Drosophila melanogaster: one gene and its partner. The protein of the gene in region 1 interacts with the protein of each later gene in a pairwise test. Each region holds a gene or a part of one and is shown on either strand. Other genes may lie near its edges.

Region 1 (13,935 bases):
AAAGTTTAAGGATACTAAGCTCACTATCAAATTTGTAATTGATTGCAAGGAACTTGTGTTGAGCTGGCAAGTAAAATAAATGAAGTTTGGCATAGAAAGTAACCAGCTATTTAAGCATCATATAGGGAAGGCACAATTTCACACACTAAATTGATTAGGAATTTATTCAACTGATTTTTCAACTGAGTGAATGGAAACGGGGCTTACGATTCAATTTGTTCAGCTTTAATCTGCTTCTCATTCATCAAAAGTACAAAAAATCAAATGAATTTTCATTCCTATTTACACAAAAGCACAAAAGGTTCGGATGGAAAGTGCAAACACTGTCATAATCAGCCTACAGGCACCTAAATACTAATGCGTATACGTAATACGCCAGTCCATGTGAGCTTATAAAACGGATTGCCAAGGAAATGGTTGCAATGGCTGCTTGGTGGCGAGGTGGTAAGGGAAACAATTTACATCAAGCTCTTAAAATAGATACAGCCGATGTGAAAATACATGGAAGTGGGAATTAATCAAAATGTACAATAGAACGGACACACAAAAAACTTTCTGCCTCTTTGAAGATCGAAAACAATTTAAATGAAGCTTTAACTAATTAATTCCAACTTACTTTACTTGAACGGGAAAAACACCATCTTTGTTATCCTGGCTATTATTGCACATGATTCTCGCCTGTCTGTCCGCCTAGTAACTGACAATGAGTGCCATAAGCTTACAACTACATACGAGTATGTGTGTGTGTATGTACCGCCGGAAAACCTTGGAAAAAAGGCAGCAAAGCGTTAAGCCGTTAGCAGCTAGATTGAGCCCAGCAGCTGCTGGCGACACCTTGCAACAGTTGCCTGAAGAAAAAACCGCTCTGCTAATACCGTCATCCGCCTCTGCGCAGAAAGAAATTTTAGAAAATCATGTAGTTCTTTTTCAAAATGCCTGGTGAGAGAAACTGTAGTAAATATAACGAATGTATAGAATGATTCATGTGTTGATTCATATTGTGTCATATTGGTAATTAAATCGAATTATGTCTTATTTAAGTTGTTGGTTCCTCGTTTGAAGGCTTCCTTTTCTTTCCTTGAAACAGTCTGCTTTATCGCTCAGTGCATGGTACGTGTCACCGCTTTGCATACATATGCATTGTGGTTAAGCAATTTGCAGCAAACGAAATGAAAGTGCTAAGCGCATTGGCCGTCAGTTTGTGCCTTACCTTCCCCCTTGCGGGTGTGTGAGTGCGGCAGGTGTGATACGGTAAAGCTGTCATAGAACTGGATCTGTCCCTGTGTGCGCGAGACCCATGTGCATGTATTTTTTCTGCAACTCGAGCTCTGCGGCTTGCGCTAAATTTCATAATTTTTGCGAGCGTCTGGTGCCGCCGGTGCCGGTGCTTGTCTGGTGTCTCCCAGTCACGTGTCATTCGTATCGCGCCATAAACAAACCCAACTTGCGTTTCCCGCCGTACTCCGCCCACTCTGTTGGCATGGAGCATCGTTTGTTATCCCGACAGTCCCGATCCCGATCCCAATCCCGCTCCCTTCCAGTCCCAGCTCCCGTCGCCTCAATTCGATTTATTTTTATGGGGCTTCCTTGTGCATTTCTGCATTGGGGATACTTTTTTGCAGAGCTCGGCTCAACCCTCGCACTTGTTCACTGAAAATACTTTCTCATGCGTAAAATGCTTGACAAGCGGAGCAGACACAGACGTTGACGCATTCAAATAGGGGTGGGGATTGGAAACTCGTCTGCCCCCGCAAAGGTTATCAACTTTAGGCATGAGGTCCGAAAAATTACAAGTTCCACTTCTAGCTAGTAGCTTACATAACATTTCATTTCAATATAGAAATATATTTAACTGATTAACTGTTTGTCTTGAAATTTTGTTGTAAGCTATCTTAACATAATCTATCTTAATGTTTTCCTTACTGGATCGATGGCCCATCTACCAGCCTTAGAGATGCTTAAAAACAATTCTTTACACTTCAGCTAATTGGGTATAACGGGCAGGAAGAGCTCATTCAATTAAATATGCAATCGAAATACAGCACGGGAATTGAAAACAAAGACCAATAGCCGGGGCAAAATAAATTGGGTAAATATTCAGCGAAAAAACTGCAAACACAATCGAAACTTTACCGCAGCTGAAATATTTAAATGGTCGAGCGAAGGCGAAAAAAACATGCATAATATAAACAAGATAAAGTTGCATCCGCCAGTTGTGAACAATAATTAAAAGGATCCCTTGGTCGGCGCTCATAACGAATCGGCTGAGTCGGGCCTCTTTGGGGTAATCACTCCCCTTGGATGGGTAATTACGGTTGGAATTCATTAACCCATCACCCGGTGGTCCTCGATAAGAGTGTTGAAACGTTGTTAAGAGTTCCGAAAAGAATTTTATTCAGTGGAAATATAATTTTGAGCAACAGAAGCGAAAGTAAAAAACCGAATGAATTGCTACATTTATGAAGTTAGCAAATTCGATGCCTTAAACGGGCAGGTTGAACATCAAACAATTGTTTAGAAAAACGAAGAGATGTTTGCCTCCGGTAAGCATCACCGAGATGTATGTTTATTTCAAGTACAGCACTCACGGAATAATCGAAGAAAATAGCTAGTGTATCGACAGAAAGATACCTCGATTACAGGGTCAATTAAATCTGTAAAAAAAATGGGGCATTCCGTTAGTAGCCGCTGGAGAACCTTGTTAAGAGGAATTTCCAAATGCTGGGCGAGCTAAGAGCCGTTGAATATGCAGCAGGATTCAAAAACGGCCAGAAGCTGGCCCAGAGCGGAGAGGCAGGCTAACAAATGTTCGAATGGACAATGTGCTGGGCGGGCCAAGAGTTTATCGCTGCACAAGTTTTATGTTAACACTGGCCACAACAAGACCAATGGCGTTACCAATGGCTGTAGCAATGGCACTGGCGAAGAGGCAGCAGCTGCTTGACTCTGTTTTCGGGAACTTTTTGTCTGCTTAGCTCCCAAATGTGCCACAAATACGGGACAGAGCGTGGACTCCGCAGGAGCCAACTCCCTCGCCACGGCTGATAAGTAAATGAATGCTGCATACTTTGCGGCGCGGGCGCAGTTTTCAGGATTTTCAATCATCAAGTAGAGAAAGCCAGCCATGAGGGTGTTATTAATGTTGCGTTATCAGCAGGCCGTCCCTTCTATGCCGTAAAATTCATCGTACTACCCATGCACTGTAAAAAAAAACTTGCATACCGTACAGGAAGAGTTTTACATACAAATTAGGCCACTTTAATTAGTGAAATATATTATATTTCAAGAATAATGAAAAGGTGTTTTTAAGGTTAAAACTACTTCATTCATAATTAATCCTAGTATCGTATCGATATGCGGGTGATATTACCTAGAATTCGGTGTCCGTTTTGCCAGTGCCTCGACCGCAAAATGCGCAGCCGGAGCAGCAAGAGCCAACAAGCAACAACCGGCGACCGACAACCAACAACCAACACGCAGCAGCTGGAGGAGCTGGAGGAGATTCGGCCATGAGAATGCAGATTCCCGCTGCTGCTCCATGTTGGCTGCATAAAAACGAAGGAATTAGCATAATTTCAGGCACTCGGGCTGCGATGGCGCAACACTTGCGACCGCAGATAAGGCGCAAAATGAACGCAGAGCGTCTTTTGTGCATGTGTTTGTGGGTGCGAGTGTGTGAAGGTGGAGAGTGTGCGTGTATAAGTGCGGGATTCACATACATGCGTGCTGGGCGCGCTGTTCATTGCTTGTTATTTCGGGAGCGCTGTGCAAGAGTTGCGGCATATGTGGATACCAGCCCAGTCAGACGGGGATATTATACATCATTTCCCCAGAGAAATTCAAAACAAGGGCATATTGTGAAAGAAAGTGCTAAGTCATATGGGATGTAAATAAGGGTATTTAAAATTCCACTCGTTTCGTTTAGTTTTTGTCGCAAAGTTACCTCAAGCCCTGCAAACACTCGCATTGTACTGGCGAACACACAGCGGCATACGATTTCCATAAATGCACAACATCGCGATTTTCTTGGCCAAATATCTTGGCTAAAAAACTTGCCGGCGGCTGAGTGCTATTTTTTAAAGGGTTTTCCAGTGGGAACAATTCAGGAGCAAGTTGCCACATTAAGAATAAAAAGTTAGCCTTAAATTTTATTACCGATAGTTGGAACAAAAAAGTCCCCAAAGCTAGTGCAAGTGTAGCAACTCGTTGAAGGCCAGCCTCAAGGTCTCTTTGAGACCCATGCCATACAGCGCGTCGTAAATGGACTTTATGTGTGCGGGGCTTAGACCGAGTTTCAGGGAGAATGATCTCGGATCGTGGTGATGGCGGTGCTGGATCCCTAGATACTGCTGGAAGTACAGTTGAGCCCGTCCCCAGTGGCGTCGATCTGTGAACAATCTACTTTCGTGGAGCTCACCACTATCCTCGTCTACCTCATTATTATAGGTGGGAAACTCAAGCCAGCTCTCTATCATCGGCCAATGGAAATCGCCTCGCAGTTCTCGTCTCATTCCGAAATCCGAGTGCGAAAGGGAACCAAACCTGGATGCAGGTCCTCCAAAGCTCCTTATTTTGTTGCTGAACGCCATTTTTCTCAGAAACTTCAATCGTCGGGACGTTGATGTTCGGGGACGTTGATTTGCTGCCGTCGAAATTGGCTGATTTGGGTTGTTTTGACGTGGTAGTAACACATGCGGACCATCCCCAATCATCGCGGCTTCTACGACGCGGGACGGACTAGACCTGCTCCACATTCTCGGAGGATTTGTTCTGATTTCTTCGCTCATAGCCGCGGAAATTTCTGGTGATCGAAGTCCGATGACCGGGCCTTACACAGCTGATGGAAACAAAAAATTTTGGGTGGGACAATTCAACTGTCCACTAAACTGGCTAACTGAGATTAGAAAATATATTTCAAAGTGTTATTTCAAGGCATTTACAAAATATTTCTCAACTTTATATTTAAACTTTACAAACTTTTCACATGATCCAAAATATATATATCTGTATGAGGAGTTAGGACTTATATAGTGCTCTAGTATATTGAGAAAGTATTAAAGTATCAAAACCGCAGATTTTTAACTTCTACATATATTCTGAATTGGTACGAACATTTCTGCAGGGATTGACCCCGAATTCCCTGAGTACAGCAATAGTCGGCTGCGGCATATGCGAGTTCTAGGATTACACTTGCATATAGCACTGATTAAGCGTTTCGACTGCGATTCTGGCAGGCAGCTCTAATTCGACCCCTTCCGGAACTTGATTATCCTGCTCGTCTGCTACTCATATAACAGGATGCGCTATACATTTGTATGAGGCCTAAATGCTAGAAGCTTACATATCCGAGAATTCCCTTAACTGCGTCATCGGGAGAGCCAGTGCCTCGCAGGCGCACACTTAAAATGGCTGCCTTCATTATTCAGCGTGGAAAGTGGAAAAGTCGACTGGCGAAATGAATGATGAAAATCAGTTCCCCAGATATTCCTCTGGCATCCTATTGCTTGCATACTATAAACAATTCGCCTGAATTGAGATGTCAGCAGTCTGCACTCGCGCCGAGCAGCCATTAATAATTGACTGGGACCAGCTACATGGGGCGTATGAGTAACATTGCTTGGAAATCATTTTGATTGGCCTCGGCCACGCCTCTTTTGGCACCATTTACTTCAAGGTACTTGACACTAATTAACATCCCCTATTTGGCTAATTTAATTGCTGCAAGGGCAGGATTACTTTTTATTTTCCAACTGCATCGTCCCAATTACCTGAGCATGTTGGCATAAACCAACTGCTCCTTTTAAGCCCAATGCAACTATTACGTGTGTGAATGTATTGCCGCAGGCTTCAGTGTTAGCCTGGTCTATTGTCCTATGGTGATTGTCCTATGGAGATTGCTTCTCTCTTCAGCTACTGCCTTTTTGGATTGGCTTGTCATTCGTCATCGGCTTGTGAAGCAAAGGTAGCAGAGGAAAAGCAGTAATCTTTATAGTTCTTGTACGGAGTGTGAATGAATGAAATTGCAATGATTACATTGGCTCCCTGCTAAGATCCATTAATTTGATAGTTTTCATAGTTCCCCTTTATTTGTCACAATAGACTAATGAAATCTTTTTTTGGACACAGTTTGGTTGCTTATTCGGGAAATCACAGCTAAAAAGGACAGCACCGCTGAAGGCCATTTCGTTTTTCCATAGTGCCACAGCACGGTCCACAGGGTCCGCAAGGGCCACAACGAGGTCCACAGGGGCCACAGCAGGGCCCGCAAGGTCCACAACAGGGTCCACAACAGGGTCCACAACAGGGTCCACAACAGGGTCCGCAACACGGTCCACAGGGTCCGCAGCAAGGTCCGCCCGGTGCACAGCCCATGTTTTTTTTTAATTTCTGAGAACTAAAAGAAAAGCTATTATACCAACAATTTTCTTAAATAAAAAACTACGTACAAAGTGCTGAACCTAAAAAGCTTGGAAAAGAGCTCAAATTTTGATGTTCTTGGGTTAAGGGAAAGATGAAAACTGATGTTTGCTTACATAGAACTTGCACAGGAAAGTAGAATATAGATTCAAAGCCTTCTAGATTTAAAATAAACAAATGCAAAATTAATAAAAATTTTATATCAATGCCCTAAAAGGAATTTAATTTTGTTCTTTAGTGAATTTTACAATAACGTGCTTAAGAAAATGTCCTGCCGTAGCAAGCAGTACAACTGATCCAGATGGGAACAACAAAGAACGTCCTAGTGAAGCTCGTCGGAAGGCAGAATCAATCACCTTGAGACGTCATTCGTGTAAAATAAAATGGTATTACCAAGAACGTCTCAACCATTTCCATATAGCAACTTGTGCTCGCAGCGCAATACAATCTGCTCGCTTAGTATCCGGCTAGTGTTCCTGATCAAGAAACCTACACCCACATACATATTACGAAACGCATTCCTATTATGTCAACGAGTAACGCCGAGTAAGAGCAATGGTGAACTATCCCAATGATAACATGGATCTGCATTAAGATACATATATATATATTTGTGGCTTTTAACTTTCAGGTGTTAGTTTAACCATGGTGGGATTGTGGTATGGTTTCACAAATCGATTCGGCTGCCAATTGCGAGCATTTAGCACCAACAGCCACCGCAACAACTGCCAAATGGTCCGCAACAAGGTCCACAGGGTCCACAGGGTCCACAGCAGGATCCGCACGGCCCACATCGGGGTCCACAAGGTCCACAGCAGGGACCACAGCAGTAATATCCGCAGCACGATCCACAAGGTCCACAGCACATGATTAATTCGAGAAGTCTAAAATAAACGAAATAAATATGTATACTATTTTAACTTTACAATAAACATTTTTACCAACGGTCTTTAGAAGCCAAAAAAAAAAAACAAGTATTTGGGACAAAACAACAAAATTTTGATGCGAGCAGCACAAGGGTCGAGATGAGAATGATATATTTTCCGAACTTACAAGGTTAGGTGGGTCTGACAGGTCAAGAACGATTTCCATAGCCTACTATGAATTCGAATTATGTTTATGTACAGCGGTTGATGGTTAAAAATAGTTATTATTGTTATAGAATTATTGTTATCGGACATTTGTCCGTTTGCAGACAAATACTATTATTGAATGAGGTTTAAATTCACGGTTGCAGGTTTTATACCCGCCACTCGTAGAGTAATAGCTATGCTATAGTGAATAGAAGAAAAGGTTATTTATTCTTGAGCTGGATCACAAGCCTAGTCGATATGAACGTAGGATGTTCCTCCGCCCCCTCTAACGATCGCAATCCACCAAGAATTGACAATTTTAATTTTCGCAATTATATTACATAAATTATTATTGTCACGCATTTGGTATCCATAGCTAAGACAAAGGTTGCACCATTTAGAAGAGAAAAACCATCGGAAAAGGTATTTTGAAATTCTTATTTTATTGACTAGGCCCGCGAGCTAAGAAGAGTTTATCCGCATTCAGTCCTAAGTTCCACTTTGTGGTTCACAGGAAAAAGATATTTTACATGTTGTGGTTGTTGTTCAGCACCCGCAATATGGCCTACAAGGTCCACAGCAAGGTCCACAAGGCCCGCATGGACCACAGCCCCCGCAGCAAGGACCGCAAGGACCGCAAGGGCCGCAAGGCGCACAGCAAGATCCACAAGGACTACAGCAGGAACCGCAAGGACCACAGGGTCCGCAAGGTCCGCAAGGACCGCCGCACGGGCTACAGGGTCCGCAGAATCCAAGGGGTCCGCAACACATGATGGTTCCGTAAAGTTCTAAGAAAAATTTTGTTAAAACTTCGCATGCTTACACTTTGAGAAATACTCACTTTGAACCTAACAAAGAAATAACTTAGGACGAAAAAATATTTCGATGATTACAGGCCGAGAACCAAAATAAGAATGATGGAAACCTGACTCACAAGTTGGTATATGAATTTGACAACTGTCGAAAATATCCATAGCTAACTAGATTATGGGTTTTGGGATACCAGAATATAATAATAATAATGAATATAATTTGTCGGATCATATTAGCCTTGAAATTCTCATGACTGCTGTCAAATGAAGCTTCGGCTAATTTGGATCACATTCAGTCAGTTCTCCGTTCCACCTTCAATAGTTAACACCTAAATTTTCGGTTCCTTTCGATTCCGGTTGGGAAATATCTTTTAAGAAACAAAATCATGTACATGTACGTCAACCCGAATTACGTTTTGGTTGGGGTATGTATTTATCGGTCTCGTAAGTCGAGTGAATACTTTTAATATGATTTATCAGGGCCCCTGCTGTGGCCCCTGCGGCGGATGCGGACCCTGTGGTGGATGTGGCCCCTGCTGTGGTGGGTGTGGCCCCTGCTGTGGTCCTTGCGGAGGATGTGGACCTTGCTGCGGCGGCACCAGCAGTTTTTGCGGTTGCGGTCCTTGCTGCTAAACCAGTTGACCCGGAAACCTGTCGGAATACTTCCGGGAACTATGTAAATCTCAAAAAATAAACTGTGTGGGAGACAACAAATTATATATTTTTGTTTCTTATTGAAATTAATAATGTAATGTCCTAGTCAACGTAGCTTGGTAGTAGCGGCATCGAGTAAATCAGCTTGTTCCAAAAGTTCGGATGGCTTCTCTCCAGATAGGTGTTAAATGCCATGTAGGTCCTTAGCTCGCTATCCAGACTGTCGAAGTTCTTCACGTTTGGATAGAGCACCACTATCAGACGCTTGCACCGATCGCGTGAGGTGGCGTGGAGGGCCAGTCGGAACTCGAGGCGACCCCAAGTGGAATTCATAAAGTTCTCTGTCATGAGGACAATAATGCGCCGCGAGTCCTTTATAGATTGACCAATGCAATCGGGAATAGATTCGCCCGCCAGCCAGTCTCGCAGGTAGAAGCAGAGTTGGAACCTGGGCCTACCACGTTCCAGCCTATCCACGAACTCCTCCAGCAGAGCCTCGTCCTTATGGGTAAACGCCAGAAAGGCATCGAACCTTTTGTCCTTATCAAGTTCCCGCTTGGCTGACAGACTGAGACACACACCGTGCTCATAGAACCAGACCAGGACCGGTTGTCTGAACCATATCAAAAAGTTTAAGGCAATGATCGTGGCCACTAGGGAGATCGCGAGTGCCAAATAATAAAAGAGGTCAGATGGACACACAATATGCTGATTAATCGAGACTAGCTTCTCACCATTACTGCACTTTATCTCAGTGAAGTCTACTATACTTGAAGACACACTCTTCATGAAATTTATCTTTTCTATATCGTTGCAAGAACAAGACCAGGGATTGTCAAGCAAATGCAGCTTTAACGATCTGTTCTCGATAGAAGAACGATTCTTCTGTGACAGGGCCGTAAGGTTGTTATTCCTTAGGTCCACATAGGTAACCCTGCTTGAAAGTGAAGGCATCTGTAGAAGTCCTTCTCCTCTGCAATCGACAATAAATGATGGCCATGTCAAGTTATCCAAGCAGCAGACACAAACATCTGGACAATCCGTTGGAGATATATTGCAACGTTTCAACGTGACGTCATACTCAAGGGGTTCGTGATCTCTCAAAATGGAAAGGACTGATCTCGACTTACAGTCGCAATTCCAGGGATTCCCAGAAAGTTTAGTTTTAATTGAATTTTTCTTAAGGTAACTCAGGACTTTGTCATCCAGGGTAACGAGATTATTGAAACGTAGATCAAGAAACCTTAGTTCCTTTGGTAGCATTGCGATGGTTATGTTTGATATATTATTTTTAGATAAATGCAGTTCCATAGGACTAGACATATTTTGTTTTCACATAAGACGACTATTTCTAGCAACGATATCGGGAAAGTTATATACAAATTTATTCCTGCAGTCTATTTTTAAAATAAGTGAATCGCGGCTATAACAACACTCGCACTTATGAGGACAGGGGGCTGCCATTTGACGAATATAAAATAGATCATACTCCCGATTGACGAATATTAGTTTTCGGTGAAGCCATTCCATATACTTATAGATGCTCATAATTGTATTAAGGTTGTTTAGTTTGCGATGCATACTTTGCAACAACTGTTCCTCATTGATCAAATAGTATTCTTGTTTTCTCACACCTAGCCAAATGAAGTGCTTTCCCAAAAACTTCAAAAACCCCTTAGGTAATTCGGTTAACGAGTGCAAGAACATAGGTTTCATTTCAGCACTTTTCATCCGTATTATCAATTTGAGATGTCTAAAGAAATTTAATAACGGCTTGTCATCACAATGAATAGTCCATTGATTGCCTGTTTGCTTAAAGATGGGGACAGTTCTTAAGTATTTGATTACATCGTTTCCCATATTAATTATTTCGTTGAAGCTTACATCAAGATAGTCCAGTTTCGCTGGAAGGTGATTGATACTTAAGTTGGTTAACCTATTCCGCGAAACATCAAGTCTTTTAACCAATTTATATCCAGGTAAAGTCATAGTTGGCAACTGAGAGAGAGAATTATTGGAAAAATTCAACTTCACACCGCCATAACTTGGAATTGGTAGGGGCGGAATTTGCAAAAGACCCAGATTGCTGCAGTCTATGTTTAATTCCAAGTCATCAATTATATAGAGACATTGGCAAAGTTTAGGGCATTCTAACCCATTGATTCCACGGATAAAATTACAATTTTTGTGTGTGCATATTAAAGCTGTGAAGTTCTTGTTGGGAATGTAGTTCCTAACCTTCATAAATTTGAGACTGGAAAAGTTTGTAAAGTATTTTAAATCCACCTCGTTGTCGATATCCAGCTCCAAATGTTCAAGGCTCTTTTGAAGAGTTCTAAATAGAGTTAGTAATAGAAAATTAATTATTTATACTGAATTGCAAACAACTTAATGAGAGAGCAATGTATAGGAAGCTATAATTTTAATCAATTTTACAAACCTTAAAAATGTCAAATTCCGAACCGTGCAATTGGTAAGAACCATCCTTTTGAGATTAATAAACTGAGCAAATGGTTTCGTGGATAAGTTTTCAATTTGAAATCCAATAAATGTAAGTGATCTTAAATGCGACTTCCCATTAAAAATAAGGTTGTCTAGCGCAATTTGCTGGTTTTCAACCGTTTTATATGCGTTGATAATAATTTCATTCACATTATCCGTTGTCTTATTTATATATTCGATTATTTCATTGAGGTAAAGGTTACTTTGAATAATTATTTTAAGAGACTTAGGTCCATTGATATAATGGACATCTCTTTCAATTACTTTAAATGAATTTATTTGATTTTCGAAACGTGTTACTGTCTCCACACCAAGTTGCCGAAGATAATCCACTGCACGTATTGGGTAACTTGTATCGGATACAATTAGCTCATTCAATTTCAAACGGTTTTCTTTGCTGATCGGACTTATGATGAAAATGTTTGGATCGGGAATTTTCCAGTTAACCTCTAAATGTCCGTCTCTCATAATTAAATGGTATTCATTGGTGGCAATATAATCATAAGCTTCTCTGTCGCAAGTCTTTGAAGCGACTGTATCATTACAGATGCCACCACAATATGTTTCACAATAGTCGTCTGGAATTGTTAGCAAAAGCTTCATTTGCTTTGATTCACATATGAAAATATTTGGATTTATTATAATTAAAATAAATATTTTGGTGTGTAGTTCCATTTCGCGACCGATGCGAACGCAAAGAAAGTTGGATTTATATAAACAAGAACTTGCATTGAATTATTGTATTTAACTGACATTTTTATGGGTCCCAACACTGCGATTAACATTTTGAATATGTAAAATAAAATAAAAGCAATTTCACTACACTCAAGTTAAGAGTTATTAAATAACAATTCAAATACTGCTTGAAATTATAAAATATTTTAAAAGTTTGCATTCCATATATTGTGTGCAAGACGTCCAACGTCTTAAAGTCCTGTATATTTATTTTTTAAAACTTTAAAGCTTTAACATTTATTTATACCCTAAAATCGTTTTGAAATAAACCATTATACGTAACCTTGAATCCAATCGCTTAGAGGTTTTTGACTTACACCAACGAATAAAATGTGTTGAGAGCTTTGTGTGATTTGTGCGGGTACTGCAATTTAAATAATGCATCAAATGAATTAAGTTGCCTGCCAAATGAAAACGACGGCATTTTCCGGAGTGTTTTAGTGGTGGATGTGAAGGCATTGGAGGTAAATGGAGCGAATCCTTCAGCATCTCCAATAAAAATCGATTCATGTTAACAAAGGAGTGAAATAAAGCGCAGTCAAAAAGTCAACCAACTAAGATTGCTACCGATTGTGAGTATTATGTGACAAAAAGTGAATACAATCCGATAAGGCAATAGTCCAAAGAAACTTGTTCGTAGAAAATTTAACTGTTAACTCTCCAGAGATGGACCATACATATATATATTTTTACGGAACTCTTGTGTGTGTCATTGATATATCGTTCGATCCGACAATATAGGAAACACACAGGCACACAGTATGGCAATAAAAGCGCTAATGATGTGGCACGAGGACGAGAAATAGTAGTCACACTAGTACGGTGGATATAAGTCTGGGAATTAGTGGTGAATAGACGGTGCCACCTTTTAAAGAAAATCTGGTTTATTTATTTATTAAACAATTTTTTATTCCTTCAGAAACGCGGTCTCGAAATTCCTTTCTTCTTGTATATTTCGTTCTCCACCTGGCTTCAGTCAATGTCCCGACGACCTGTCGCGAATATTATTAAGCACACCGCATATAAATGTTACAGCTTAATTTTCACCTGCAAGAATGTGACTTGAACATAAATCATATTGCAAAGGGAACAGATATTGTGGGCTGGGGGCTTAAGTTAACGAGGTCTAAAAAAAAATAAATAATAATACAGGTATGTCATCTAATTAAATATATCCGTGTGTAGTTTAATTCAGGAAATGAGGAAAACTAAAATACGAAACATGGCATACCATGTGGTTGCCAACAGTGGCTGCTAAAAGTATTTATTGCTGTCAATCCTAAATGAAGTAAAAACTCAACCTTTCAAACGAGCGTGGTTCGTCAAGGATACCTTTTTTTAGACCCGAATGTAGTCGTACTTACCAGGAGCACTGTGTACCAACAAGTAAGCACAAATGGCAGACGTGCTCCGTTAAGGGTGAATACACACAGAGACTCGGCTTCCGGCGGAATATTTCAGTTGAAAATTTTTAATGAGCTTGAAATTGTCGCAGTAGATTTTTCAGCATACCATGAAAAATCGGAGAAAAAAGAGTGAGAAAAATGACGTACAATTAAATAATTGGGATGAGGTATTTGAACCCGTCACTCTTGATATGACAACACATTATGAACAATGGCTCCATAGCCTTTGCAACTAATTACATAAAATGATTCGAATTGCATTTATAAATTTAATAATTTATGCTACCTTGGATATTTTGCGTTAATGCCTTTAAATCGCTCTACGGATAAGTGCCA
Region 2 (17,734 bases), on another chromosome or scaffold:
TTGAATCCTGTACGGCGGGCAATAAATGAATCCTCGCTATTTATTACTACACGTCGATTGGAGAATTTATTTGATCGGAATATCAGCTTATAGCTGACTAATAGCACAGCAATTCCCTGAGAATGTCCCAGCAATTAACAAAACACACCGTGGTTTAACCATAAATTGGGGAAATATTTCGAAAAAAAAAGTATATATTTGATGGAAAACCAACTCGAAATTCATTCTAGCAGTCAGAAGAACATGACCAAATACAAGCCAATAAGAATAAGTGGAATATAAACCTGCAAGGCGAATTTTGAAACTCACCGTATCCTCGTCGTCATCGGTATTATCCTGAAGCTGCTGGAGTTGCAGCTTTGCCATGGCCGCCGTATGGTTCTCCATGTCCATGTCCTTGGGCGTGGACTCCTCGGAAATGACCGACGCCGATGGCAGGTTATCCACGAAGGCGGCAAAGCCGCATCCATTGCTGCTTTCTAGCGGCGTCTGCACCGATGTTGGCGAGGCCGACGATTTGGAACCGGATCTGGGCCGGACTCTGCCATTGACTGCGACGGTTTTTGGCGCCAAGGGAGCAGGCGAATGCTCGATGCGATGGGTATAGCGTGTATTCAGCCGTATGCTGCTATGCGGCGAGGACTGCGGGGATGAGGAAGAGCCATCACCACCGGTGGCAGCTTCTTCTCCGAGGGTTTTGGTCGGAGCAGGGGGCCCGGAAGCGTCCAGTTTTGGAACAATACCGCCGAGACGCAACTGCTGTTGGATCAGGCGCTCCGCTTCCTGCAGCAATTCATCCACGGATCGCATATCTGTGCTGTCGGACAGGCGACTCACCTCCTGGAATATGGACTCCGGGTCCGGATCGTTCAGTATTCCGCCGCAGTCCTGCTCTTTGGCCAGGAACTCGATGATCGAGCTGCTGTTCGTGTAGTCCAACGCATCCGCCTCCGACACGCCCTGTTTGTGGGGGCTAAGCACCTGCGACATGGCGCGCTGATGTGATCCGCAATCAAATGGGGCCAGTGAGGATGTCTATCTACTTTTCTGTTTCTATTCTATTTATATATATAGAATCCCGATGCTTCAGTGTGTTTGTTTGTTTGTTTGGTTTGCCTGGTCTATCAATGCAAACCAATTGAAAACGAACAGAAAACAGCCGGACTATGTGCTCGTTGGGGAATTTCCGGGTGCCCAGAGCTCGGACCTGGGGATCACGGATCTCACGGATGCGGACACGAGGCTCAGCGGACGCGGCGCATCGTCAGTTTGGCCGTGGCAACAACATTTTAACCACTTTTTGCAGTACCCACACCCCACTCCACTTTGTAGACAGTCGGTAGTAGTGATGGGCGAACGGCGATAAGCAGCTCGACAAAATATTCGATAGTCAAACAATTTTATTTTATGTTTTGTTTATGTTACATTAAGTAACGTCATTCAGTGACCGATTTTAACGTAAGCATTTCAGACATAACTGTTCCGCAAGTAAAACTTCATTTTTTTATTTTTTAACAAGAATCAATTAATACGAAATCTAATTGGAAAACGTAGTTTCAGTTAGATCTAATACAAAAACGTACCGTTATCCTGTATTCGATCAATTTAATCGATTTTTAGCTTTCGAACAAGCCGATAACCCGCAAATCGATTAACTAGCATACCTGTACTGGTACATTGCACTGTATTTACAGCTTTTTCCATTCAGTGTCGCCTGGTCACACCGCGAAGCATTTACAAATAAATTCCCTGGTCGTGTTGTTCTTTTTTTTCGTTCCGTTACATAGCACGCTAAAGTAAATATCCGAAAGGTAAATACGATCAGCTGAAGAGCAGGTAATAATGCGGAATATATATCCGGGCGAGAATGAAAAGCGGATAAGATAAAATCGCTGCGCGTGGCCAAAAAAAAAAACTGGACCACCTGAAAACGATCGAAAGGCGATAACAAGATAAAAAAAATGTACTGGCGTGTACAGTGAAAACGAGAACTCTAGGAATTACTAGTTAAACAGTGGGAGAACATGACGCATTGTTTGCATTTGTATGGCCGTTCGATAGTGTGTGTGTGTGTGCGCGGCCTTTTCGGTGTGCGTGCGGTGTGTGTGTGGGCAGTAAAATACTCGTTAATTAACCAATTTTAAAGAAGACTGAGAAAATAATAGTTCTATTCTCCGCCACTGCGTAATGTGCACGAAATTAACAAAAACCAAATGCACCATGTATTTCATCAGCAGTGCGGCAGCACGCACACAAATGCACTCAGCATACAGCCGTGTATCGATATTAGCGATTACCGATAACGCGTCCAACATATGCAATTACTACCGTTTTCCTGTTTTCCCCCGTTATAAAAAACAGAAAGAAAAACATTGTATACCGTTTTTCCAGGAAAACACAGAAAAAGAAAGAAAACACGAAAATATGCAGCGACTGTGGACCTAACCAGCCACCCCACCCAACTTCCTCCGCCCCCAGATTTCTTTTTGATATTTTTTTTCTGCCTCTCTGTAAGTTCATTTGCATGCAATTTGAATCGAGCCGAGATCGCAGCTCTTCGAGGTTCTCGGATCTCCATATTCTGTATATCTATAAGGCTGGAGAACTGAATGTATGTAGCAATTCCTATTCTCGTTTCGTACACGCCATGAAAGCAATGTACCCTTCTTGAAGATCTTGACTATATTTCTAGATCCAAAAGGTTAATTATACGAAAACAAAGAAAATAACACATTTTTCTCGATGCACTTTTATTATTGCTATCCAGGGATTCACTTTCCAAAAGAGCAGTGGAAACGTTGTGCAGGAATCCCCTATCAATTCCCACGGCAGACTAATTGCCAGTAATTAAAAAGCCCAACTGCTATACACCCAGATTAACTGAACCTTACATTTACGACGACAATAGTTTTGCGAAAGATAATAATTAAATAAAATTTATTGTTCCTCAAGCGACTACTTTTTTTTTTGGCCCGACCCTCAATGACGCCGAAATCGTTAAGCAAATAAGTTGCCCATAAATCGTTAACCAAAATTGGCTTTCCATTCACGATAACAATGAAAAGAAGCGTCTTGCAATAATGAAATCAATTTAAAGCTTTGTTTAATTGCACAAAAACGAAGTTAGTTTGGTATCAAGTCAAGGCTTTAAAGCTGACTAGATTACTTATAAAATTAAGACCACTCATCACCGAACTCCATTGACCATTTATCTTTTTTTCAGTTAAAGATCAGCCGATTCCAGAATGCTTTCTCTGCAGAATCAACGGCAACCGAAGACCACCCCACTGACGGACGACTACGTGACCTCGAACACGGTTCTGGGCTACGGGATCAACGGGAAGGTGGTGCAGTGCACCCATCGCCGCACCCAACAGAACTATGCCCTCAAGGTGCTGTTGGACAGTGAAAGGGCGCGTCGCGAAGTGGACCTGCATTGGCGGGTCAGCGGATGCCGGTACATTGTGAACATCATTGATGTGTACGAGAACACGTTTAAGGACAGGAAGTGCCTCCTGGTGGTCATGGAGTGCATGGAGGGCGGCGAGCTCTTCCAGAGAATTCAGGACAAGGCCGACGGTGCCTTTACGGAGCGGGAGGCGGCCCAGATAATGCACGAGATCTGCGCGGCCGTAGACTATCTGCACAGTCGCGACATAGCGCATCGCGATCTCAAGCCGGAGAACTTGCTGTACACCACCACTCAGCCGAATGCGACCCTTAAATTGACGGACTTTGGCTTCGCCAAGGAGACATTCACCAGTTACACGCTGCAGACGCCCTGCTACACTCCCTATTACGTGGGTGAGTGTGCCTTTTGTAGGGATAATCATCATCTAGTTTCTAGTTGAGGTCAATTGTCACATTGGGCACGAAAAATTGCTCTATAATTGTTAAAATCGTCTGTTTACCCACACGGAATTGTGTCAGGAGTTTTTGTTTTAGCCCGGAAGCCGCATGACAGGCATTTGCTGATAGTAAAATTACTTTTTATGCTTGTACCGCCCCGCTTACATAATCTACTAAGCGAACTTTCTCTATAACTTCTGTAATTCAATTCAGCCTTGTTCTCAATCTCGTTGCGAAAGAGTTGTTCGAGAGTTTGCAAAGTGCAATCGACTCGATTTGCAATCGAACGGAAAGAAAGGTTGCGAACATATCGGGGGATTCATAATAAGGTTTTAACAATTAGAATTCAGTTCTCATTGGGTAAATACAGTGTACTTATTCCTTAAAGTTAGTACATTTTCCATTTTGAATATATTATAAGATATTCTTCTGGATAGTTCCCATTTTAATGACATGTTTTTTCTTTTGCAGCTCCTGAGGTTCTGGGCCCGGAGAAGTACGACAAGAGCTGCGACATCTGGTCGCTGGGCGTGGTGATGTACATCATTATGTGCGGATTCCCGCCGTTCTACAGCAACCACGGCCTAGCCATATCGCCCGGCATGAAAAATCGCATCCGCACCGGCCAGTATGACTTTCCCGATCCGGAGTGGACGAATGTGAGCCAGGCGGCAAAGGATCTGATCAAGGGCATGCTGAACGTGGACCCCAGCAAGCGTCTGCGCATCCAGGACGTCATTAGCAACAAGTGGATTGCCCAGTACAATGCTGTTCCACAGACACCGCTCTGCACGGGTCGCATGCTAAAGGAGGCCGAGGAAACCTGGCCGGAAGTGCAGGAGGAGATGACGCGCTCACTGGCCACCATGCGCGTAGACTACGATCAGGTGAGTCACCCGCAGTGGCAACTTGGCATTGCAACAAAAAGATAAATCTCAATGCGAGTCCAAAGTTTTCACTTCTATTATATAACCATTACTCATTTGCTTCTCACCACATACTGTACATAGTATCTTTTCGGTCAATTTGTTTATACAATGGAAAAATAAATTTCAATTTCAGTATGCTTAAGCAATTAGCAAGTCGCCTACTTCCTAGCCCTCTTTTTGTTCTAGTCGTGAACTGGAAAGTCACTAATTATAAGAACTAACAGGAGGTTAATGCGCCTGAAATGCTTTGATTAGTTCAAAACTTGAAAGAAGGTCTTTTCCTAATTGGAATTTTCTTTTCTGCAGATGCAAATCAAGGCGCTGGACAAGTCGAACAACCCGCTGCTGACGAAGCGCAGGAAAAAGATCGAGGAGATGGAGTTATACATGGCCAATGCGACGCGCAACTAGACAACGAGGAATCCAGAGCGACTAACACGGCCAACCCGGGAGTGAGATGAGATGAGATGAGGAGAGATGGGCGTAGGATGTAGGATGGGCGAACCATCGGTTTAACACTTAAGCGGATAACAATGTTGTACAATGCTTTACAAAAACGATAAATACTACTATACTACGACGGCGGCAAGATCTGCTATTAACTAATATACTACGATGACAGCAACCTTTGCAAAACAACTACTCCATGTTATTGTTACGTTACGTTTTCTTATTCATTTTGTCCCATTATCTATCTATCCATTTCCAGTCAAGGGTTCTTAGGGTATTTTGTAGTCTGAAAAGTGCTCTTTTGTAAAAGAAACTATAAAGCGTAATGCGCAAATAACGAACTTAAGTAAAGCCAAGTGCAAGCCTAGCTAGCCAGCCAGCCCAGCCGAATATTCAAAATGTCTCGGTATCGCGTGAAAGTGTTTCGTTTTTCGATTCCCTTTTTTTTTTTAAATATTATTTTCCAAAAACGTGTCATTTGTAACCGAACCGTTTTTTACGTGTACGTGACTTTGATTATAATTATATATATATATGTATATGTATAACCGTCTGTGTATGTATGGCATATGTGTGGAGAAACAATTATACAGCCAGTTCACGTTAGCATTAATCTGCGCAAGATTCAGTGTTGTTTATAACTTTTATTTGCTGATTCTGCAAGCGATATACCATTTTACCGTATAGCATATTTGTAGTCCATAAACAACAAGATCATCCCCCAAATTAATAAAAACAAATCAAGCTTATTTTACTATGATTAAAACATAAAACAAAATTGCTTTCATTTCAACGCCAAGTGGGATAAAAGCACGGTTTAGAGGGAGAAAACAACAAGTGGTGGTTGCATCTTCTGGAAAAACTCTGAGCTTGACCCACTACCACCACCACCATCTGGTATGGAAACAAAAAGTCAGCTGGATTTCGGTTTTGTAGTGTCATTTATTTTCCATTTCCATGATCAACAACAGTGCTCCGGCATGTGAGCCATCAATAATCATCAACGATGCTTTTCGCATAGGGTGCTTGTGGGCGGGAATGGGGCGTGGCGTGGGGTCGGGTGGGGAAATGGGTAGGAGGAGGTTGTTTTTCGTGCAGGTTGCAAATAACAATTTGCCAACAGTGTGATGGGCCAACAGCTGCGAGAGGCCGCGATTACAATACCCGGACTAAAGGCTACGACTAAGACAATAGTTAACATTCACGTACTTGTACTTGTGATTCGGTTATTCGTGTCGTTTCTTTTGTATTTCTTGTGTGTGGTGTTGTTTTTTTTTTTTTTTATCAGAGGTTCTGTAAGAGGTTCGTGTTGTGGTTTCGATCTGCTTTACTGTATCGTTTTTACGGGCTTCTTTTTTCATTGTTTTATTGTTCGCGTTTTACGTTTACCTTGACGTACTTTCAGTTGCGTGTTATATCAATTTACAAAATATGTGACAGAAAATTCGCTTAGAAAAATACATTTGGTTGCTTTGCTTTGCTTTGCTTCCTGTCCTCTGATTTCATATTTGTTTTCTTTTGTTCCATGTACTTGTTGGCCGTAGTAGTTTGTGTGCTCCGATGCTGTTTGCTAGCCTTAATTTTAGTTTAATGGCAGATAGCGAGATTCACCGTGCTTCCGGGCTCCTCCCGCTAATAGTTGAACTTTAAATTCCTGCACTCGTTTCCAATTCTCCTGGCTGTCCTTCTTCGTGATCCATCCGTGAATATTACTCCCGTTCTACGATCATCAATCCTCAATCCTCTTTAGCTATAGTTTTGTAAACTGAAGGTACATTTTTCAACAATCTCTCGTCATTCGTATCGATTCATTCGATACTCAACACATCCTCCGCACTGCCTACAGAAAACTGTCGCAGCTGTTCTCCGCCTCGCTATTGGAGCAATCCATGGCGGGCAGTGAAACGCCTCGTCGATAAAGCCACTGCCTCTGATGATGATGATGATGATGCTGCTGCTGCTGCTCCTGGTGCTGCTGGTGGTGGTGGTGATGGTATCCATGGCCAGCACCCGGCACACAAATGGCGCTGGAGCTGCTTCCGCTGCCGGAGCCCTGGCTAATGGGACTCATGTGGCTGCCACGTCTTCTGGAAACCGACGGCATCTCGGGCAGAGCGACTGAGTTGAGGCGCGGAAAGTACTTGTACATCTCCAGCAGGCTGCCCAGCTTGACGTGCGGCTTGTACTCCACATCCTCTAGCGATTGTGCCGCCGCGCTGCTATTGCTTAGTGGCGTCCAGAATGTGAGACCCAGCTGGGCCAAGTGACCGCCCTAAAAGCGAAATAGATCAGTTGCTAGTGAGCACATTTATGAGTAGCCACAACTCACCTTGATGTCGGTCTCCAGTTTGTCGCCGATCATGACGCACTCCTGCGGCTTGACATTGAGAAAGTTGCAGGCGGCATAGAAGATCTCCGGATGCGGTTTCTCCCATGGCAGATCCGATGAGACCAGCACGCAGTCAAAGTAGCCGCGCACATTCAGCTCAGCCACCTTCTCCCACTGAGCGTTCGACGGTCCGTTGGTGATGAGGGCCAGGGCATAGCCTGCCTGGCGCATCCGCAGCAGCAGCTGGACATAGTCCGCCGGAACGGCTAGGTAGCGATACCGCAACTTCAGCCACTTGGGATAGATCTGTTCCGCCAGGTGCTTGTGGCGCGCTGGAAGGGATTCGCGCCACAGGTGAGTGCGCCACGAGTCCAGCGATGTTTGCGAGTTATCGGGACAGCGGCGGAAGGCCTTTAGAAAGTTTTGGGTGGCCTGTGTTGCGTCATCTTTGCTGAACTGGTATTGGGTCTCCAGAAAATCAGCGAGCTAAGAACGAAATTGGAAAAGGGTTGGCAATTCGCATTATTATTGCGTTACATAAATTCAAAAATATACAAAATTGCGTAGATGTGATAGTGCCGTAAAAACCTCAACCGCGATAAAACTATAAATACGCTATGACGAATTAAAGACGAGATAAGTTAAGAACTTTCACGCAATAAGAAGTGAACAACCTGAAAGTAGAGTTAATATTAATAAAAGCGATTAGAAGCCTCAATACGTGCATAATCTTTTGCGAAACGCGGTAGAACGTAAATCAAAACTATTACGTCCATAAAGTTCTCAATTAAGCGTCAGATTGACCAATCCAATCATTCGATCGAATCCGAAGCCAATTGATTAATTCCAAAATTGTTATAGCATCGCCGTACTATCAGGGGATTGAACATCAAACTGCAATTGCCGCCGGTACACTTGCAGCATGAGTAATATATGAGAATATACTATATTTTATGATCGCAATGATAGCTTGGAAATTTCCACTCGCTATCTATTTTCCGGCCCAACCATCCGCATCTATTGAATCGTACTCAAATCAGGAAGCTAAGCTCACAAAAGTCATTTTGAATGCTAGGAATTTAAGTTGAAATCATTGCGATTAGTCACAAAAACTGTCATGAGTTCCGAAATATAAATGGGCGTGGCTTCGCTCGCTAAGAATTGAAAGCAACTGAATAAAGAAACCGTCTTATTTGGGGTCTTCAAACATTGAGCGTATTGAAACATGAACGTGATAATGAAGTTAACTATCTAAATTGGCGCAGCTTAAAAGATAACGATATAATCTGGAATGCAAGAGTGAGTAAATGTACGTGACATTGAACACATTTTCAAGAATACCTATTTATACCTTTCTCTCTTGAAGGGAAAATTCTAAAAACTTTAACCTTTTAAGATCGCAAATAGACTCATTTATTGTAATAAATAAAGTCAATGGCCTCTGAACGTTCAAACAAGTACATATTGCGAAGTGCTACCTATTATCATCAATTAACCTTTAGCTTCTTTGTGTGCCATTCACTTTATAAGAAGGTTATATTTCAAAAGAAACCATTGACGCGGGTTTCCAAAGTTTGTTGGTATGACGTTTCGTTCAACTTTTGTTAAGTGCAAGTTCCTCGATTTCCGACCTTTTTGCAATCGTTTGCAATCGATAATGCGCACCACGATAAGATCCTGTAAAGTGCCTTTTAACATTTCGAAAACCGAAGATTCCGAATTTCCAACGTAATGCCGATTATTTAGTGGGTTTTAGCCTTCTAAAGTGCATGTACCCGTGGTTATATTTAAGTTAAGACCTTGTCGAGTGCACTCTGAGTTTTTCTTTTTTGTTTTTTTTTTTTTTGTGGCTGGGGGATGTGAAGGGAAGGGAAAGGAAATCAATCGGAACGCAAATAAACAATCGAAATTTCGGGCGCGTGCTATCTGCCGAGCGTCCGGGTTTTTTCGACTACGTAACAACGGGCGGGCTGCAGTGGAAAATTTTCTAGCTGGGTCGCCCGCCTGCTGCGCACTTTCACCTCCCCCGCCCCGCCCCCCCACAAACACTACATGGAAAAGAAACGGAAGAAACGCCAACGGATTGGTGATTGGCAGAGGGGGCAGTGAGGCTGTCTGCCTTGGCTTGGTTAACAAAGCTCACCTTTCTGATCGCCTTGGAATCGCCGGCTCTGGTGGGAATCAACGTGTTGTCCAGGTCAAAGTAAAAGGCCCTGATTTTCGCACATGTCGCATCGAAATGTGAATGTGTGGCTGTCAATTGCTTGCCGCAATGGAATTTGCTAGCTGCCATGAGAGTCGTCGAGCGGAGGGGGGGATGGAGGGTCAGCGAGGGGTCACTGTCAGGAGTGGAGGGGTGGTAGCCGGTTGCTTGGTTAGATGGATGGATGCAAACGTAGAGATCCAAGAACAACTTTGGTGCAATTCAATCCGCCAGCGGATTTGCGCTTTGAAATTGGCGCCAAACGAAACGAAACGAAATGTACGAGCTGCACGACTGCAGCAGCACTGCAGTATTTTTCTATTTTCCTCGAGCGGACTGGCAAAAGTTTCCGCTTCTCGCGCGGCGAAGTTAAAACGGCAACTGAATGACAGCGACAAAAAAAATAATGAAACGGAACGGGAGCGGTCGCAGTAATGTCGAGAGACGGGGTAGCGGGGCGGCGGAACAGGTGAGCGCGTGTGTATGAGTGCTTGTTGACTGAGTGAGAGCGGAGCAGCGAATGAAAAACCGAAAGAAAGTGCGAGGGCGCATGGGAAAACAGTGGTGGCCAAAAGTCTGCGTATGCGAACAGTGCTACCAGGCGGCGGCGCCAATTGATAAAAACTTGATAAGATATTGTTATTCCTTAAGATTTTATATTATTATTAAGATGTTCTTGAATAAGTTTATTTCAATAACTGGTTAGACATCCGTGTTGTGTTGTTCTGGACAACTACTGCGCAGCACATGTGCTTTTTACGGGCACATATTTTTTGGCGCCACTGTGCGAAGTGTGCCAAGTGCCGTTTGCGCGCCAGAGCGAACGAGAGCAGGCGACCTAGCGCAGAGTTGTCTCTATGCGCCGTTAAACGACCGTGAGTGGAAAAGAGAGCACGATAGAGGTCGCGGAGAGGTTCGCGTTTCTCTGCTACGACGCCTGCTCTCCACTCTGAATTTAGTATAAGTCGAGGCACGCTCATTTCCTAATTGTTGTGCCATTTATTTTTAACTTCTATTAATAAAACCAGGAAAAGCAATAACAACAGTTCTTTGTTTACCAAAAATATCAGTTGTTTTATACTTCCTGGTGCTTTCTAGCACTGGCTTGGCGGTAAATCGATAGTATTCGATAGTGATTGTTGAAAGTGGCAACGCTATAGTTTTTGTTTAACGAGGTGGCAAGTGATTAGCCCACGGATTTTTTGGCATCTTTCCGTGTTTATTTTCAATAGTTTTTGGAGTTTTTCAACATTATCCGCGATGAGCAACGCAGAGACAACTACGGATTTGCTTTCTACAGGTGAGTAAATATTTAAATCACATGAAAGGCGCCATAAAACGAGGTTTTCTTGCAGAAACCATTCTAAAAGCGGCGGACGAGGAAGTGGAGAAGGCTTCAGCGTCCAGCAGTAGTACGTTATTGGCCGAAAAGGATGTCCCGGAGGTCAAGGAGCGGCCCATAACGCCGGAAGACGAGCTCATCTCCATGGAAACTCTGCGACCCTCACCTGTCCAATGGCCAGAGCGTTGTAAGTGTAGAAAACGTGAGCACGAAGAAATTGGCGCCATTTTTAACGCATATCTTTATTTTCGATTGCTCCAGTTCCCGGAATGGACGAGTTCCTCTCCATGAGCGACACGCCGATGTACACGCGCAGCACCAACTACACCAGCAATCTGACCGATGATGATATGGTTAAGATTAATGGTAAGTAGCTGCAAAGTCAATGAGATTTAAGAATAGTATATTAAAGAATAGCATATCCATTACCTACTTTTCTATTCCAGAACTAGCCCAGCTCCCTCCCGAGGATCTGATCGATAAAATAAAGTCAATGCATGATGAAATTTACCAGCTGGGACTGCGTGAGGCAATGGAGATGACTCGTGGGAAACTGCTGGGCATCTTTGACCGGGATCGCGCTCCTAAGCGGCAGCCATGAGGCTGGATGATCCGATCCCTAAGAATGGGACTGTCGAGGATCTCGTTGAATTCGCATTAGGAACATAGGTGTAGTTTCATAGTGTACATAGTGCTATTTTTATAGTGAGTAATGCGTGTTGTGAATGATTTATCGCTATTTTACAAAGATAAATAGGCAGGCGTTTGAACAGTAACTAACGTTTATTTCCATTAAAGCATTTTGGGTCCTACACGTCGCTTGTATTACAGATACATTTGAGGAGTCGGAGGAGAGATGAAGTTGACGGATTGGAGGGAAAGGAATGCAGAAGGATCTGGAGTTTTTGGAGAAGGCACAGTAGATTTCGCTATGCAGGGACATTAACGCAACAAATAACTCTGTCTATGTGGGATTGGATGGATCGGTTGCGCTCTAGTGCGTCCTATTAATACTTAACTAAATGCTTTCGTTCGGATTTATGCAGTAGCCTTCCCCACGATCCATCCCAATTTGGGAAAGTGTGTTGGTGCTGATGGTGTGCTTACATGCTGTTTCCCGTGAATATATATCCAGTAACGTGCATCAATTCCCATTACTCCTGCCACTGCATTCCGAATCGCTGCTCAAAGGTGATCCGGTTAAAGACGCCCGCATCGGCCAGCTGCAAGGGATCGGTGTAGTACGCAAAACGCCGTATATCCAGCATGGCCAGGTCGAACATTTGCTTCCAGCTGGTCAAATCTGTAACGCTCATGTGGATCGGCAGCTGGGGATCCGGTATATCGATGGCCGCCTGCAGACGGTCAAACGCCTCGGCAATTGGTCCCACCGATAGATTAACCCAGTACTCCGCTGGAAAGCGCTTGTTCTCACAAAACGGCGCTCCCTTGCGCATGATGAAGACCAGCATGAGTATCTCATAGCGCTCGGAGCTCTCATAGAAGCGCTTGGTTCGGGTCTTCTCCACGAAATCGATGAGAAGGATCAGGGGAGTGTAGTTCTGGAGGTGCATCAACAGCTCCCGGTCGGTCCAAAGGTAACGGCCGCCTTTGACGGTCAGCAGGCTCATGTTGCTGGCGAGTTGTTGATGCTGCTGCTGCTGCTGTTGCTGCTGCAGCTGGTGGTGTTGCTGCTGCTGAAGGTGTTGCTGTTGCTGCTGCTGATGTTGGTGTTGCTGCTGCTGTTGCTGCTGGTGTTGCTGGTGCTGCTGCTGCTGGTGTTGCTGCTGCTGGTGCTGCTGGTGTTGCTGCTGCTGATGCTGCTGGTGAATGCCGCCGGCGGATGGGGCTGGAGTTCCGGTGTTGGATGCCACCTGGCTGGGCATGGCGACCACAATGCCCGTCTGTCTCTGGCAGCCAATCTCCTCCACCATGTGCGCTGCAATGACGACAAAATGCATTTAAGGCAAGTGCCTAAACCAGGCCAAGGTCGCTGCGTTGGCCAAACACCCAGCCACCCCCTGCCCGCCCTCATTATTACTTGTTGCAAATAGCGAGCAGCGAAGAGCGAACGTGCAGCAAGTCAAAGGCTATGGCAATTGCAATTGCAATCAACTTACTGCGTGCCCCAATCAAAGCGGCAGAAATTATGTGTGTATTTATGAGGCGGATGGATCAGCGGGTCTGGATTTGGATCGGGGTACGAATGTGGCCCCCAAGAAGCAGCGGCCTATCTCCTCCGGCAGCTCTGCGTGTTTGCCGTGCGCCCTGGACGATTGTTGCCACGCGAGTGCCTTCCCAAGTCCGAAGTCGGAGCCACTCGGACCCGCATTCTCGTTGCACTCGGGCTCAGTTTTCTCGGTGACTCGGTCGCGCCAGCCGATGGGCATGTGTGGATGTGCATATAGGGACTCGGCCCGTTTGGCAATGAACTTATTGGATGCGTTCTGCGCTGGCTGCGGTTCGCAGATTTGTTACCAAGCGGGCTGCCAACTCTAAAATGTATGCCCCCCAAGCGGTAGATTAAAAAATAAATGTGAAAAACATATATGTAAGCAGTCTACAAAAAAGTAATTTTATGTTTTTAAGACAAGAACTTAAAAGTCTTAGCATTAGTCAATTTCCTATGATATCTTATCTATTTATCATGCTTAAAAATATATAAAATAAACATATATTGTACATATATATATATTATTATACAAATTGAGTTCATATTTAAATACGATATGTAAGATTTGAAGAGTTTTCGAGCACCCTGTTCTATTCGCCTTTGATTTGATTGAAAGCTTATTAAAGCTCATCAGCTTATCAGCAAACGAAATCGAAGTTTGATGCACATAAAAGTGGTATTAAATTTCCAATAAAGGTAGACTGTTGATTTAAGTCAACCTTGAGCGGTAAATAAATAAACAGATTGGGAAAACATAATGCACATAATGCAAACGGTTTTGAGTAACTGCATTTGCATTTAATATGACCCCACATTTTCCCACAAAGCTATAAACAATATCATGATTAACGTATAATTTTTAATAGTAATAAACATCCGTACAGAGAAATTCAAAATGCATGTACAACAATGCATAGCATTGTTAATAATATATATTCTTAGGAGAATTAGACGCGCCCCACTAAATACAATCAGAAAATTACAGCCAATGTCAATAAATTTGAAAAAAAAAAAATAACATATCCTTGGGACGACTAAACTTGAAAACTCTTTTACATAGTCACCTAACCCTTTGTTAAAGATTGCCCACCCTACGATCAAACTCGTCCTTGTGCTCGTTCTTTAGATACTTCCGCATCCCGACGAGCATGTAGCGCACTTTGGGTGCGGACAGGACATCCAGGAGTATGGCCATCAGGGCCTGAAAGCTCTCATAGGTGCCATTCTTGTACTCCAGCAGCGCCTTGCCAAAGCGGCGGAATTGATCTTGGGTGACCAGGCTGCGTAGCTGCAATTCAAGGTAAATTAATTAGTAGTAGTAGTAGTAGTATGGAAGAAGTCTCGAAGGTATCTCACCTCCCGGAGAAACGCGGCCCTTTCCTCGGGTGCCTCCTTAGCCTGCGAACTACTTGGCTCCACCTTGATGTTCTCCACCAACTTGTATCGCTTTTTGGTCACCTGGCTGGAGGATTCCGGCGCCGTTGGTGAGCTTCGCTCCCGCTTGTGAATCTTCACCAGACCAGAGGAGCCACTTTTACTATCTGTGCAGCAGTTGAAATCGATACTCTGGGAAAGGGGCAAAACAAGAACAAGTCCTAAAGAACTAAATAAACACAGTGTAATAATAGATTCATGGGAATCTCGTGTTTACCGAGACATTTGAGTCCAGTCGACTCATAAAGTCCATGGCATTCGGCGCCGCACCACCCAATTTATGTCCAGCGGCACTCGCATAATCGGCGGGTGTCCATGTCTTGATGGAATTGGCCATCTCCACTTTGCTACAAAGAAAAATAATAAATATTTCAAAGTGTCAATACCAGGAGAAAGGCAAACGAAAGTTTATTTACCCTGGCAGTGATGACAAAAGGCCACTGGAAATGGCTTACAGCATTTCACTTTAGCTATGACAAATCTCAAAAATTGTACTCAAGACTACTTAAATCCGATTAAGGATTTGCTATTAATAATTGTAATACAATCTATACAGCTGATAAGGTTGATCTTAGATCGCAGGTTACGTACATTGCGGATTCATTGGCTGATTTGAAGGTGGCATTGGAGCCAGGCTCCCGTTTCACTTTTGGAATGGCGGCTAGTGGTTCATCCTCTGTCTTGCAGACGGTTTCCAAAGGCGAATCGGTTTCCCTTTCATCCGGTAGTTTCATCTGAAGTTTTGAAAGAATTGTATTACAATTGCTGAAAAACGCATAAACATCATGAGCTTACATTCGCTTCGGCGTTCTTAAAGAACTGACGCAGTTCCCGGACGATAGGACCAAAGGGTGAGCACTGTGGCCGGTCGCCCAGGTGACCCCGAATCCATTTGGATAGCTGCTGGACCTGTGAGGCGTCCTTAAATCGCGAGTCGCAAAGCAGAATGGCACCATAATCGTTGCGATGCCGAATCACACGACCGATGGCTTGATTGACTGCCCTCGTGGCATCTAGATTGTACCATTCCTGCCCACTTAACAGCTGATTCTCACGAGTCCGATTCGCCTCCAGGTAGCGACGTTTCAGTATCACCTTGGGATCCTTTAGCGGTGGGAATGGCAGACCAGTAATAATCACCGCGCGGCCATTGCGATCAGCAAAGTCCAGACCTTCGGAGACTTTGCCGCGACAAACAGCCATGAATACGGCACCCTTGGAGTCGCGTATCGCCTGGTAGAACTCTTCCATCGTGCTGGTGAACTGGTCCTTGCTGCGCGGCTCCAGAAAAATCGGTTTCTTGCACGATATGTCCGCCCACAAACCACTGGCCTGCCACGCGTCCACGCACTTGTTCAACATGGGATACGATGGGAAAAAGACAAGGAGGCCGTCGGGCACTATACGCGCTACATTCAGAATCGTCTGTCCCAGGGAGCTGATGTACTTTGGATTATCACTGCAGAAGAACAAAGGTGGCAGATAAAACATGTTTGTTTAGTTTGTATAACATTAAGAAATTGATACGTTGGCATTTCGTAATGTTATGAGATAGTTCACCTGCCACAGAACTGAGTTATGTTTGGCCCAACTTGTTTATTTACTCATGGTATTGGCCATAAACAAATAAGCTTGTGGTGTGAAAAATGCTTACCGGTTCGCATAGTTCGATATCAGTTGCTGCCGATCGGGTCCGGTGCCGATGATCTTGACATAAACCTGCGACTGGTCGACGATGTGCGGATTCTCCAGATGCTGGGCCACCGGAATGGCAAGCTCGGCGATTAGCGGCTTGAGGGGAGCTAGTGTGCCGCTGGTCAGGATTACGCTGCGCACTTGGGTGTTGAGCAGTTGCTCCATTCCGAAGCCAGGATTGAAGCACCAGAAGTTAATGATTTTTGCGACCTTGCTTAAGCCAGTCGCTGCTGCAATCGTTCCCTTGCCAAGCCAACCGCCCTGCTGTTTAGCACCCTGCTGCTTACCGTGTCCCTGCTTGGACTCCTCCACCAGGACATGCACTTTGAAGCTTGCGTACACCTTGCTCATCACATCCTCCTTGTTGGCAAACACAATGGTCAGTAGATCGCTAAGCAACGTGAAGGTGCCGCCCTTGCGGATGCTCATCTGCTGGGAGGCCACTAGGAGGTATTGCACCAGTTTGTCCAGCAGGGATACTATCGTTGCAACGTTGCCGTAGGTGAACTACAATAAAGGAAGTTACATTTTTAAATAGGCATTCTTTTAAAAACATTTCCGATAAGATTTAGTGCATCTTACATTCGCCTTGCCAAGCAGTTCGTACATCATGGAGGCGGGAAAGGTAGTTCCATCGACGGCGTTGTCCACAACGATGGCATCGATGGCCTTTTCGAGCTCGAGCAGCATCTCCTTGAGCAGTGTAAGGTCGTCCAGTGTGAAGTCCTTTGGCTCATCTCCAGCCATATCCTGCGACTCGCCGCTCGCAAAGACTTGCATGATATGCGTGACGTCCTCGATGGCCATGGCCACATCAGAGGACTTAATCTGCACCGAAGCGGACTCCTCGCAGATCTTCTCGATGTTGTGGGCCTCATCCAGGATCACAATAGTGTTGCCCAGTTCGATTTTGTTGGCCTTGCGAGCCTTGGGATCGAGTAGATAATTGTAGGGCATGAAGGTGATATCCGCCTGGGGAACCAACTCCCGAGACGCGAAGTAGGGACAGATCTTGAGTCGCTGGCCCACCTTGACCAGGTCCTCAATGTCCATGATGGTGGGTCCGCGCAAATCGGGATGATCCTTTCGCGACTCAACGCGCATTTGAAATGAACAGGTCTTGGAGTGCACCCGTAGCTTGCACATGTTGGTCTTGTTGGAGTTGCCCTGCTCCCGCATGACCTCCGGATGAATGCATAGCTGATCGCGGGAGCCCAGAACCACGGATCTCATGTTAGCGTACGCTGTCCTCTTGAGTTCCCGCATCGCCTGCGTCAATTGGGAGTGGGTGCGCGAGGCGTAGATGACCTTGGGCACGCCCCAGTTATTC

The links.
Region 2: the proteins of Mst84Dd (region 1) and CG15771 interact in a two-hybrid assay, tested with the Drosophila melanogaster proteins (2 studies listed by BioGRID).

The regions. Positions count from the first base shown.
Region 1 is NT_033777.3:7,357,245-7,371,179, forward strand, and holds Mst84Dd (Male-specific RNA 84Dd), read right to left. Parts: upstream 6,530-13,935; 5' UTR 6,447-6,529; intron 6,395-6,446; 5' UTR 6,373-6,394; coding exon 6,154-6,372; 3' UTR 6,063-6,153; downstream 1-6,062. Other genes in the region: CG17944 (uncharacterized protein), read right to left, coding at 4,185-4,787; Mst84Dc (Male-specific RNA 84Dc), read right to left, coding at 7,118-7,285; Mst84Db (Male-specific RNA 84Db), read right to left, coding at 8,037-8,261; Mst84Da (Male-specific RNA 84Da), read left to right, coding at 8,689-8,727, 8,783-8,935.
Region 2 is NC_004354.4:5,748,171-5,765,904, reverse strand, and holds CG15771 (uncharacterized protein), read right to left. Parts: upstream 10,332-17,734; 5' UTR 9,851-10,331; coding exon 9,701-9,850; exon of another isoform or gene 9,054-9,700; intron 8,044-9,053; coding exon 7,558-8,043; intron 7,501-7,557; coding exon 7,069-7,500; 3' UTR 6,154-7,068; downstream 1-6,153. Other genes in the region: CG42699 (uncharacterized protein), read right to left, coding at 310-990; MAPk-Ak2 (MAP kinase activated protein-kinase-2), read left to right, coding at 3,246-3,804, 4,321-4,736, 5,085-5,189; lin-52, read left to right, coding at 11,021-11,060, 11,116-11,289, 11,364-11,468, 11,549-11,703; CG15772 (uncharacterized protein), read right to left, coding at 12,257-13,036; Rtel1 (regulator of telomere elongation helicase 1), read right to left, coding at 14,351-14,563, 14,632-14,841, 14,927-15,056, 15,301-15,443, 15,505-16,168, 16,364-16,911, 16,987-17,734.